Callithrix jacchus: one gene and its partners. The protein of the gene in region 2 purifies or fractionates together with the protein of the main gene of each other region. This does not show direct contact. Links are inferred from orthologs where the notes say so. Each region holds a gene or a part of one and is shown on either strand. Other genes may lie near its edges. The genes, in order: PDLIM7, BAG3 and HSF1.

Region 1 (3,603 bases), on a different chromosome or scaffold from region 2:
CTGCCCTTTTCTGGAAAGGGAAGCCGTCCCCATCCCCCACCCTCTCTCCGGGAGCCAGCTGCTCCTGTGCACCCCAAGACCCCCACCTCGGACTCAGCCCACACCTCCCAGGAGCCAGCCCTTGTGGGCAGGTAGTGGCTGGGCCAGGTTTCCCTTGTACTGACTCACCATGGCCTTGAGTAAGTCATTTCCCCTCTGGGGTGTCACTTCCCCACGCACAGTTTAAAGGGTTGATTTAGTTGGCTTGAATTAAATGTGAGGGGGAAGCTCAGGGCGTCTCGAGGTGGGCTGACCCCTCAGTTGGGCCCCCATGCTCAGCAAAGGTGGCCTGCAGTGGTGGAGTCTTAGGGTCAGGGTCACTTCCTGGCCCTGCCTCTTGCTGGGTGACTTGAGTCAAGTTGTTTAACCTCTCTGTGTACACTTTCAAGTGCAAAATGGGTAAAATCTCAGATTACTCCACAGGGTTGTTGGAAGATGCAGCAATGTGTAGCATACTTGGTGCTCAGTAAACTGAAGGAGGTGTTCTTATTTAGCGAGTGAGGAAGGGGCCACCGAGCTCTCTTAGCTTCCCTGAAGTCATTCCTGATGGTCTTAGTTCATGCTGGTGGCAGCCATTTCTCGCAGCCTATTGTCACCCCTTGTTGCCACTGGAACCAGGGACTCCCAGCTCAGAGCCTGAAGGATTGGAGTCAGGGGAGTTGGCAGTTGAAGGCTTGGGAGTGACACTCATGTATGGCCTATGAAGCCCCAGCTGTCACCTTAGGCCCCATTCAGGCAGTGTTCATGGGGAACCTGGAGATAACAGGGCCTGTTCCTGGCTCTCAAAGTGTCCCAGCGGACCCCTGCAGATGGCCCCCAGATAGGGTGCTGGAGGGTAAGAGATCCATAAGAGCCCCCAGCGGTAGCAGGGAAGAAGCTGCCCCTTGCATGGGCCAGAGGGCATATCTGGTAGTATAGCAGCCCTGGGCAGGCAGCCAGCAGGTGCTTCAAAAGGCAGGTGGTCCTCCTGAAACACATGGGCCTGAGCATGGCTGTTTGTGGGTATCATAGAATTTCTGGACTGTGGGGTAGGGTCGTGGTGCAGAGTAAATAAATCAGCAGTGTGATGGGAAATTGTGAAGCTCAGGTGAGCGCCACCACCTCCTGGTTGCTTTAGTGTCCAGCAGCTGCCTAGAACTATGTTGAATGAAGAGCTCTCTGGCCTCTAGAAGTGGGGCAGCATTACCACCTGGCTTGGGTCTGCAGAGTCTAAGGACCTCGGTCACTGTGCTTTTCTCTGTAGCTCACTCCTGGAGGCAAAGCAGCACAGGCTGGAGTGGCCGTTGGTGACTGGGTGCTGAGCATCGATGGCGAGAATGCAGGGAGCCTCACACACATCGAAGCTCAGAACAAGATCCGGGCCTGTGGGGAACGCCTCAGCCTGGGCCTCAGCAGGTATGCGCGTTGGTGTGGATGGGTGCACAGTCGCTAGCAATGGGGATTCTCATGGGCCCACGCTGTCACACTTTCCTTTTCCTTCAGGGCCCAACCGGTTCAGAGCAAACCCCAGAAGGTACGAGGCGGGCCGGGACATCTGGGCAGCGGGCGGGTTGGGCTTGGACAGCCAGACCTGCTCGCCCTCCTGGCACAGCCTCGGTACCCCAATCCCTGGTCAGAAGTAGAGGGCAGAAACTGGAGCTAGGGTGGGTCTAGGGCCCTGGAGTTGAGCCAGGGGCTGCCGCACGGTCTGGGCACCACGCATGTTTGCCTGTCTGTCCGCCTGCCTGCCTCCCGCCGCCGGTGCTGCGTGTTCGCCCGCACTTGGTCAGCCCTCGGTCCTGCGTGGACTGAAATCACCACTCCTGAATGGGCCCCTTGAAACCTGAGTTGTCGTCTCCCCCTAGTCTCCTGCAAGATGTGGGGGGTGTGGGGGGCTGGAGCTGCCACTGTCTTCTGGTGCGGGCGCCCCACTCCCACCCAAGTCCCTGCCCGCCTGCCCTGCCCGGCTCTGTCTCTGCTCAGGCCCCGGCCCCTGCCGCGGACCCCCCGCGGTACACCTTTGCACCCAGCGTCTCCCTCAACAAGACGGCCCGGCCCTTCGGGGCGCCCCCGCCCGCTGACAACGCCCCGCAGCAGAATGGGTATGTCAGCCCCGGCCCGCCCGTGCCCGTGCCCATGCCATCAGGCCCCTTGTGGCCCCACGCCCTTTGCCCGCTGCCCGCTGCTGCTCAGTCTGTGCTGTGCCCCAGCCCGGCGGAACCGTGCGGCAGCAACCCCTGGCGGCCGGGGTGGGACTGCAGGCACAGGGCCCCTCCCAAGGCTGTGGCACCCTGCAGGGCACTGCCCTGGGGAGGGGTCTCTGAATGAGGTCGCACCCCCTGCTGGCGGCTTGGGGTTGGGTCATGGTGTTGGGCCAGTTGAGCCCTAGACACTCAGTGCTGCCTGGTCCCCGGCTGCCCTGACCCCTCCCCATCTTTCTTCCTCTCCTGTGTCTGTCCCTTTGTCCCTTTATCTCTCTATCTGTCTATTTCCTTCACAGGTGCAGACCCCTGACAAGTCAGTGAGCCCCCTCTGCCTGTCCCTCTCTTCTTCCTTTTGGCACTCTGGGCGGTGGCCCCTCCCCACCCTGGCTGCCCTCCTCTCCACTTTGCCCTCCTGTCCTCTCATCCACCCGCCTAGCAGGGCTTCTGGCCTTGCCCTTACCCACTCCCTCCCATCACTGTAACCCACATGCACCAAATCCTGGGAGGGGCTGCCCCCACTGCCCACCCCCAGCATGGGGTTCTGAGCCGCACCCTCCCCACAGACAGCCGCTCCGACCGCTGGTCCCAGATGCCAGCAAGCAGCGGCTGATGGAGAACACCGAGGACTGGCGGCCACGGCCTGGGACAGGCCAGTCGCGTTCCTTCCGCATCCTTGCCCACCTCACAGGCACCGAGTTCAGTAAGTGCCAGCCTAGGCAGGGTGGACTCTCCTGGCCTCCAGCCCAGGCGTGAACCCTGACCTTCTGTCTCTCTTGGTCAATGCCTGTCTCTGCCCTCTCAGTGCAAGACCCGGATGAGGAGCACCTGAAGAAATCAAGGTACAAGAATGGGCACTAGCCCTTCTCCCACCTCCTGCCTCTTCCATTCCAGCTACTGCCCTATGTCTACTCCTGAGGCTCCCAGCTGGGGCTTTCCATTCTCCTTCCTTCCTTCGCTCCCTCCTCCTCCTCTTCCTTCTTTCCTTCCTTCTTTCCTCCCTTCCCTTGCTCCTTCCTTCCCTCATTCCTTCCTACCCTCCTCCCTCCCTATGTCCCTTCCATCTCTCCTTCCTTCCACTTCTTCCTCCTTCTCTCTCTGCCCCTCAGGGAAAAGTATGTCCTGGAGCTGCAGAGCCCACGCTACACCCGCCTCCGAGACTGGCACCACCAGCGCTCTGCCCACGCGCTCAACGTGCAGTCGTAGCCCGGCCCTCTCCAGCCGGCTGCCCTCTCTGCCTCCCTCTTTCTGTTCCTCCTGCCCAGGGCACCCCCTTAGTGTCTCCAGCTTCTGCCTACCTCACCCCCGCTTCCTGCCCCTGGCCTGAGTCTCCTGCTGGCCTGGCTCTGGCCACCCACCTGGTGCAGAGCCTGGCTTCATCTGA
Region 2 (4,237 bases):
CTTCTGGGCTCAAGCAATTCTCCTGCCTCAGCCTCCCGAGTAGCTGGGACTACAGGCACACGCCACCATGCCCAGCTAATTTTTGTATTTTTAGTAGAGACGGGGTTTCACCATGTTGACCAGGATGGTCTTGATCTCTTGACCTCGTGATCCACCCGCCTCGGCCTCCCAAAGTGCTGGGATTATAGGCGTGAGCCACTGCCTCCAGCCCGAGAATTCTCTTCTTGAGTTGATCATGTCCCATCATCAAAATCCAAGCAATCACAGCACAGAGGTCAGTGACCCAATAACTTGGTGGCCAGGAGGGCACAAAGGTAATCAAGTATTTTAGCCTGCATGCTTCACGGTTTCACAAAACATTCACTTCCACCTTCTGAACAGACACACTGCCTCTTATGAGGACTCTCCTGACATCAGTACTCTCCCTGCTATCGGTACTAGCTGGGTGACCTTCAAAAATCACACCTGAACTCTCCAGGTTTTTTCAGAAAATAAAGAAGCCTACCTAAAAGATCTTCAAGGACCTTTCAACTTTAACATTTTCACTGTGAAATTTTCAAATAAACCTTTCCAGCATCAGACTTCTGATTTAGTAGTTCTTACTTTCTATTTGTTGAGAAGAATAATGGTAACTAAACCTGCTTTTTTCCTTTTAAGGTTTAGGAAACCACAGCCTAACCCAGGCACCAGGTGGGTACAGGAAGATCTCAACTTGCTGGGTAAGTTTCATGCTGAGAACAAAGTACTGACAATGTTTACATTCAAACTTAATCTTCACTCATAACAAAGGCTGCCAGCAAATGCTACTGTCCCTATGTCTACAGGAAGAAGCCCTCAAAATAATAGTTGTAAACCACACTAAAGATCATGTACATCCACGCAGACTGCTAAGAAAGGGGGTTTGAAATGAGCGTCAGTTTCACCCAAAAATGGGTTGGACACCCAAAAAGGTATATTTAACTGTGCCCATCCCAGCTAATTACAGCCTCTTATATTAATTTTCAAGAATAAATATACAATTAATCTCTCGTAAATGTAAACTGCTGACTGTACACCATCTCACTGTTGGGAACCAGAGTTTTGTCAATATTGTTAAAACAGAACGTGTATAAAAATGAAGGGAAATAATATGGGTCTTTCTTCTAAAATCATGAGATACAAAGCATTTTTAATTTGCTGAGTTTTTAAATCTTCAAAATAATTTATCACCTCTTTTGCTGCTTCTATCTTGCCCAGACAGCAGTCACAATTACGTTTTAAGTATAACATAATTATTTTTAAAACCTTTTTATTTTGAAAGCTCAAATTTACAGAAAATGGAAAGAATAGTATAAGTATGATTTTTGAAAATTAACAGACTCATTCCAAACTTATGTTTTCAAATTTCATGCTCTTGGGGATTAAAAAGTATATATCCTTGCATATATGTAAATGAGACATACTTCTGCTATATTCACAAGAGTATCATTACTCAGTTATTTGTGTACTGGTAACAAATCCTAAGTATTTTAATACCATAACAAGGCAGGAAGCGAATGCCATTATAAACATACACATTATCGTTCTCTTTCTCTCCAGGGTGAGGCAATGTGGTAATGCAATGGCCAACTGTAAGACAGTCTCCCGTCTAGTTTAGAAACTGCTGGGGAGAAATGCACCCCGTTTTTAATTTTACAAGTGATAATAGGATACATACAGATCCAAAGCACTTTCAAACAATAATACAATTTTAATTTGACACACACACACACACACAGGCATAAATGTTTTGACACCAGCTTCCTGAGTCATTGGGTGCCTCAGATGGGACAGTAGTGAAGACATCCCTCAACCAAGTTAGGGAACTTGAGAGGTAAAAATCCCCCAAAACCACCATCCAAGCTTGTGTCTCCCTCGCGTTCGTGGACAGCGGGGTGCGCCGCGGGTCCCGGGCCCGGAGGCCAAGCGGGCAGCAGGGACTGCGGCCTCCGGAGCCGACCAAGCCGGCTGCCCTCCTCCAAGCTCGGGAGGGCTAGGCCAGCGCCGGACACCCGGCCCTCCGTCCTGGAGTCGAGCCGCGGACGGCACAGGGGCCACTGCGGGGACGGTTCCCGGGCCACCGGATCCCGGGGCCTCCTTTGGCCCGGACGCCTGTCAAGGGCGGGTCGGGAGCAGGGACTCGTCCGGGAGCCGCGGGAATGTGTGGCTGGGCGCGGAGCCGGTGTCCGCCTGAGAGGGGCCTTCGCCGACCCCCGGGCCCCGCTTCTCGCGTCCCACCCGCCCGGCCCCCTTCCCGCCGCCCGCCGTCGAGGTGGCGCCATCGACCAGGGCGGGCCGCGGGCCCGGCTCACCTTGGGGCCCTCGGGGGGCACGCGCGGGTCGTTCCACGTCGTGGTGCGGCTGTTGTGGTCCACGAAGAAGGGCCAGCCGGTCTGCGGGTCGATCTTGATCTCCCAGCCGGGGGGCAGGGGGTCGCGGTCACCGTTGCCGGACGCCACCTGCATCATGGGCGAGTGGGTGGCGGCGCTCATGCTGGGTAGGGGTTGGGGTCGGCCCGGAGCGGGGGCCGCCGGGGCGCGGGTGCGGAACGCGGGCTCCGGGCGCCGAGTCTCTGGCCTGGCCGCCGCCGCGGGCCCCTCTCCGCCGCCGACGTGTCCGGGAAGCCGGCGCCGGGCACCTTTATGAATTAAAGGCGGGGGTGACGTGGCCTGAGAGGGGTGGAAGTGTCTGGAAATAGCCTCCTCGCTGCTAGAGGAGAAGGAGGAGATAAAGGGAGGTAGCAACTGGCCGGCTAGAAACTTCTAGTCCCGTCCAGAGAAGTTGGCCGCGGCCCGGGGTTGGATGCGGAGCTCCGCCCTGAGTCATCGGCTATAATCGCGGCGGGCGGGGGCGGGGCCTCGGCCCTCTCGTTCGTCCCCGACCTCCCCGCCCTCCCCCGCCTCCCTCCGCCCCTCCCCGAGCCTCCTAGTGCGCGTGCCCCGGCCGGAGTGGCCGCGGGCGCGCCTTCGGGGCCTGACTGCGGATGGGACGCCGGACGCACTGAGTTGGGGTCGTCCTCCGTGCGCCCTGGGCGGGTTTCGGCTTTCACACTCCCTCCCTCCCTCTCCTTAGCGCCTAGTGAGTTTTCCCTGGGCCGGAGCCGGTCCTCCCCGTGCCTGCCGCCCCTCCTTTCTGTACAAACAAAGCCATCTCACCCACCCCATCCCCTCCCCCATATATGACAGCCCGGGACACTGAGGGCTGCCTGGGAGGAGCGCGGGGACGCTCATCTGACACTAGCAGGAAGGCAGGGAGAAAATGGAAGTCAGTGCAAACTCACTTGCCTTTCTTTGGAAACTTCAAGGAAAAAAAGATTGTGTCAGCTGATGGTTTTTAGTCTCCCAGACTAAAAAGAAAGTTTCGTTGTAGTAAACAGCTTTACAGAAAAATCACATTCTCTTGGGTTTGGATCTTTTTTATAGTAGAGGTTGGTTCTTGCTATCCTACATCTTGACCCTCATTTGGGAAGTAAAGACCTAACCTAACCGTGACATTTTTTCGCTTGGTTCATTGAATGGAGGTTGCACTTGTAACCTGCCAAAGGAGAAAATGACAACATTTTTAATTTAAAGATCTTTTTGTTTGTTTTTATTTGTTAACTTTTATTGTTAGTTTAAAGATCTTAACTGATTTTGTGATTCTAGAATTGGGCAACACCTCCATTAAATTAGAATAAGTGTTCCTAAAAGCCGAGCAGAAGAGGTTGGTTTTATAGACAGAGAAGGGCTGAAGAAAACAGAAACAAAGAACCAAGGCTGAATTGGTTGTTTTAAAATTACTTTCCTCGTAAGGAGGGGACAGAGAGAATCACAGAAAAATAACGGATGAGGGCTTGGCACTGTGGCTCATGCCTGTAATCCCAGTACTTTGGAAGGCCAAGACTGGAGGACCTCTTGAGTCCAGGGGTTTGACCAGCCTGGACAACACAGTGAGACCTACACCTCTACAAAATAAAAAAATAAGGCAGGTGCAGTGGCTTATGCCTGTAGTCTCAGCTACTCAGGAGGCTGAGGTGGGAGGCTCACTTGAGACCAGGAGTTTGAAGCTGCCATGGGCTATGATTGTGCTCCTGATGCCAGCCTAAGCGACAGAGCAGGACCCTGTCTCTTAAAAAGAGAGAGAGAGAGGGAGAGAGAGAGAGAGAAATGATTGGTTAACATCAGGTTACATACTTCAGATTACTGTACAATTGACCCTTAACATGGGTTTGAACTGAGCA
Region 3 (3,603 bases), on a different chromosome or scaffold from region 2:
GGATAGTTGTGTAAAAATCCAAAATACAATTCTGACTATGAACAACCTGCAGGGTCAGTCCAGGTGTGGCTGTGAAGCCCTAACCAAACCACAGGACACGAGGTTGGGTGAAGGCAGACTGGCAGGTGGGCGACTCTCCTGACCAGAGGTGCTGCCCAGGCCCAAGCCCCTCTGTGTATCCTGCTGGGGCTGTGGTGGCCAACCCACCAGTGCCCAGGACCATGAGCCTGCCCTGCCTCCCCAGGACCAGCCCTGCACTGGGGGTGGGGGTGGGCAGGCCATGGCTGGCCCGGCTCCTCCCAGTCATCTAGGAGATAGTGGGGTCCTTGGCTTTGGGAGGCTCTGAGCCCGTCAGCAGGGAGATGGTGGGGTCCTCTGCAAAGCTGTCCCCTTCGGAGAAGTAGGAGCCCTCTCCCAGCTCAAACAGCACGGGCAGGTCGCTGCTCCCGGTGTCCACGGAGCCAGGGTCCAGCAGGAACAGGGGCTGTGCCGTGTAGTGCACCAGCTGCTTCCCTGTGGGGATGGGGGGTGTCAAGGCTGTGGGGGTCGGGGCAGAGAGGGAGGCTGAGGGGATCTGGCTCACCTGAATCCGGGCTGCTGTTCTCTGCCTCAGGAGGCCTGGGGGGCTCCTGGGGAGATAGGAGCTCCTGGATCTGTGGTGTGGAGGGGTACAGTGAGTATTCCTGCCTGTCTCATTCCCCCCCACCCCCCCACCCACCTACGCACACTGGCCAGGCTGCTGTCAAGGTCAGGCAGGCTCATGTCGGGCACAGTCACCGAGGGGCTGAACAGCTGCAGAGGATCGAGGGAAGTCAGCACTGCACCTGGGGCGGGATGGGGCGGGGTGGGGCGGGGTGGGGCTTGACTCACGTCCAGCAGGGCGCTGGTGTCCACACTGAAGCCGTGGCTGCTCAGCATGGTCTGCAGGTTGTCCAGGTTGGAGTCCATAGCATCCAAGTGATCACTGAGCTCATTCCTGGCCCGGAATGACAGGGTGGATGAAAAAGTGCCCCAGGCCCTGCACCCTGATGCCCTCCTGCAGAAGGGCTCCCCTTGGCTGTGTCCCCCAGGCAATGCCCCCGTGTAGGCCTGCACAGGCTGGAAGATGGCCTGGAAGGCGGTGGGGGGCTCTGTGCCCTGCATGGGTGTGGCTGGACCCATGGGGGGCATCCCGTCACCATGAGGGCCTGGAGGCCTTGGTGGCAGCAGGAGAGAAGAGGTGTATTCAGCTCCAGCATGAGGGTCGGGGTTTCAGTTTTCAGGGTTGCTGAGGTTTCCCGATGTGTTTGGAAAACGGCTGGGGCTGTGCTCAGCGTGTGGGTGGCTCAGCCGGTGGGTGGCTCAGCCGGTGCCCCAATGCTGCTGTGGGGATAAGACCCACGGTCTGGTGGCGGTGACCAAGAGAGCCCAAGGCAATGGGGCACACCTGAGCCATTGGACAGGCAGCCAGGCTGGATCCTGGAGGTGCCCCAGAGACCACTCCTGACAGTAAGTGCAGTCAGTGCCGCAGCCTGGATCCTGCCAGCACCAGAGGCCGTGCCAGACCAGGGAAGCCTGTCCTTGTCACAGGCAATGACCACAGGCCTGTGGCCAGGGGAGGCAGGATGACATTGAGCCCCCATCACGGAGGGGCCCAGAATGCTATTGCCCAGGCCCAGTGCTCATGCCCGGCCAGGCTGGGTGTGGTCCACAGCTGTGTGGGAGGGCCCAAGCTGTGGCAGGGCCCTCCTCCCTCCCAAGTGGGGTCAGCGCTAACCCTGGCTGGACTCGGCCACGTGGAGAGGAAGAGGGGCAGGGGAAGAGGCGGGTGACCCCAGACATCTGTGGAGTTCGAGCCAAACTGCAAGATACAAAAACAAGAGTCCCCATTGCAGGCAGGGGCTGGGCAGGGCCTGGGGGTGTCGAGGCTGGGCCCCGCTCACCGTCTCCTGCTGTTGGTCTGGGTGGCACGACTGATGCTGGGACCCGTGGCCTGTGGCGAGAGGGTGGCGGCAGCAGGAGGGGTGGCCAAGAGCAGGGCCCAGCAGCCTGTCCTGCCACACCCTCGGCTGCTATGGGGTGATCTGGTTGGCACCTGTCTCCCTCCCACCCCGAGCTGAGGTTGGGGCAGCACTCACTTGTCCAGGCAGGCTACACTGAGGCACTTTTCAGGTGTGGAGGTGGGCGGGGGTGAGGGGGGTCGGCCCTCGGTGTCCGTGTGGCCCCTGGCGTCCGTGAGGGCTGTGGCGGAGGCGGGGGCAGGCTCACTCTCCCGCAGGATGGAGTCAATGAGGGCGGTCGGGGACAAGAGGGTGTCCACAGAAGATGGGTTCCCGGGACTCGCCTCCTCTACCCGGGGGCTCTGAGGCGGGCTGGGGGGCTCCTCCTTGACACGCACCAGGGGGCTGCTGGACAGGGGCCTGGACACCAGGCGGGGCCACATTAGCTGGCGTCTTGGGCGGCCCTACCTCACCCCCAACTCTGCCCTGGGCCCAAAAGGGCTCGCCTCGTTGGGGGAACAGGAGGGCTGGGGTGATGTGGCCCCCACCTCTCATCTATGCTCCCGCCGGGGGAGGCCACGGGGCTGGCAGGAGCCAGCTCAGTGATGTCGGAGATGATGGGTCCAGAGCTGGCCACAGCATCGGGGGCGTAGAGGCTGGAGCTGCTGTAGGCCGGGGATGGGGCCTGCAATCAAAGGCAGGAGGCCCATGAAACTCGGGCTGGGGTGACCCCCCCATCACTGTCCACATGCCTGGATGGGAGCCCTGTCCCCGGGGCTCACCGAGTAGGGGCCCGTGCCATGGACGTGCTCCAAGGAGAACTGCCGGCCATACTTGGGCATGGAATGTGCCGAGCCGCTGTCGTTCAGCATCAGGGGGCTGCGGGAAAGGGTGCAGGTCAGCTGCCTCCCTGTCTTGGGCACCCAGGGCAGAGCTGACAGAGGAGGGGGATGGCCCTGGGCCCCGTGCCCCGTGTGGCGGATGCAGGTGTCCCCAGAACCTCACATCTTTCTCTTCACCCCCAGGATCCGGTTTGACTGCACCAGCGAGATGAGGAACTGAATGAGCTGTGGGGAGAGAGGACACAGTCACCTCGGCACTTGTGGGGCCCCCGCTGGCCCTCTGGCCCTGCCCCCACCTTGTTGACGACTTTCTGCTGCTGGGCATGCTTCTGCCGAAGGCTGGCCACCTCCCGCCACAGAGCCTCATTCTCACTGCAACAGACCAGGCTGGGTCAGTGGGGCCCAATTCCAGGAGCCCCACAGACCCTCCCGTCTCCCAGGTGGGAGCAGGGGTGAGTGTGACCATGTCTGGCCTGGCCCAGTCCAGTATGAGAACTGCTGTGTGGAAGGGCTAGGGGACAGGCCAGAGCTTGCTGGTCCCACTGCCCCTCCCTGCTGGGGACAGCTGGTGTCAGGTAGGGTGGTTGAGGACAGAGCGAGCCAGGTGCACCTGGATCCTGGCATCCATCCTGGACAACATCTGGAGGGATGCCTTAAGGGCAGACAGACCCTTGAGCCTCCCCTACGAGGCCTGAGAAGCAAAGTTTGGGGAGGATGGTTCATCAGGCTGCACCACCAGCTGTCCTGTGTCCTGCAGATGCTCAGGACCCTTGACAGGCCTA

The links.
Region 1: the proteins of BAG3 (region 2) and PDLIM7 purify together in Homo sapiens (affinity purification with mass spectrometry; 3 studies listed by BioGRID and IntAct, counting the BioPlex papers as one, with this or other methods). This does not show direct contact. The link is inferred for Callithrix jacchus from reciprocal best matches to the Homo sapiens genes BAG3 and PDLIM7.
Region 3: the proteins of BAG3 (region 2) and HSF1 purify together in Homo sapiens (affinity purification with mass spectrometry; 3 studies listed by BioGRID and IntAct, with this or other methods). This does not show direct contact. The link is inferred for Callithrix jacchus from reciprocal best matches to the Homo sapiens genes BAG3 and HSF1.

Annotation. Positions count from the first base shown.
Region 1 is NC_133503.1:68,644,051-68,647,653, forward strand, and holds part of PDLIM7 (PDZ and LIM domain protein 7), read left to right. Parts: intron 1-1,282; coding exon 1,283-1,434; intron 1,435-1,521; coding exon 1,522-1,552; intron 1,553-2,001; coding exon 2,002-2,120; intron 2,121-2,518; coding exon 2,519-2,539; intron 2,540-2,785; coding exon 2,786-2,922; intron 2,923-2,998; coding exon of another isoform or gene 2,999-3,024; coding exon 3,025-3,061; intron 3,062-3,328; coding exon of another isoform or gene 3,329-3,425; exon of another isoform or gene 3,426-3,603. UniProt on the Homo sapiens protein: May function as a scaffold on which the coordinated assembly of proteins can occur. May play a role as an adapter that, via its PDZ domain, localizes LIM-binding proteins to actin filaments of both skeletal muscle and nonmuscle tissues.
Region 2 is NC_133513.1:113,172,147-113,176,383, forward strand, and holds the start of BAG3 (BAG family molecular chaperone regulator 3), read right to left. Parts: upstream 2,825-4,237; 5' UTR 2,511-2,824; coding exon 2,331-2,510; intron 2,259-2,330; exon of another isoform or gene 1-2,258. UniProt on the Homo sapiens protein: Co-chaperone and adapter protein that connects different classes of molecular chaperones including heat shock proteins 70 (HSP70s), e.g. HSPA1A/HSP70 or HSPA8/HSC70, and small heat shock proteins (sHSPs), e.g. HSPB8.
Region 3 is NC_133517.1:53,316,854-53,320,456, forward strand, and holds part of HSF1 (heat shock factor protein 1), read right to left. Parts: intron 3,194-3,603; coding exon 3,118-3,193; intron 3,047-3,117; coding exon 2,985-3,046; intron 2,859-2,984; coding exon 2,762-2,858; intron 2,665-2,761; coding exon 2,528-2,664; intron 2,400-2,527; coding exon 2,118-2,399; intron 1,841-2,117; coding exon 1,757-1,840; intron 977-1,756; coding exon 727-976; intron 654-726; coding exon 584-653; intron 514-583; coding exon 308-513; 3' UTR 1-307. UniProt on the Homo sapiens protein: Functions as a stress-inducible and DNA-binding transcription factor that plays a central role in the transcriptional activation of the heat shock response (HSR), leading to the expression of a large class of molecular chaperones, heat shock proteins (HSPs), that protect cells from cellular insult damage.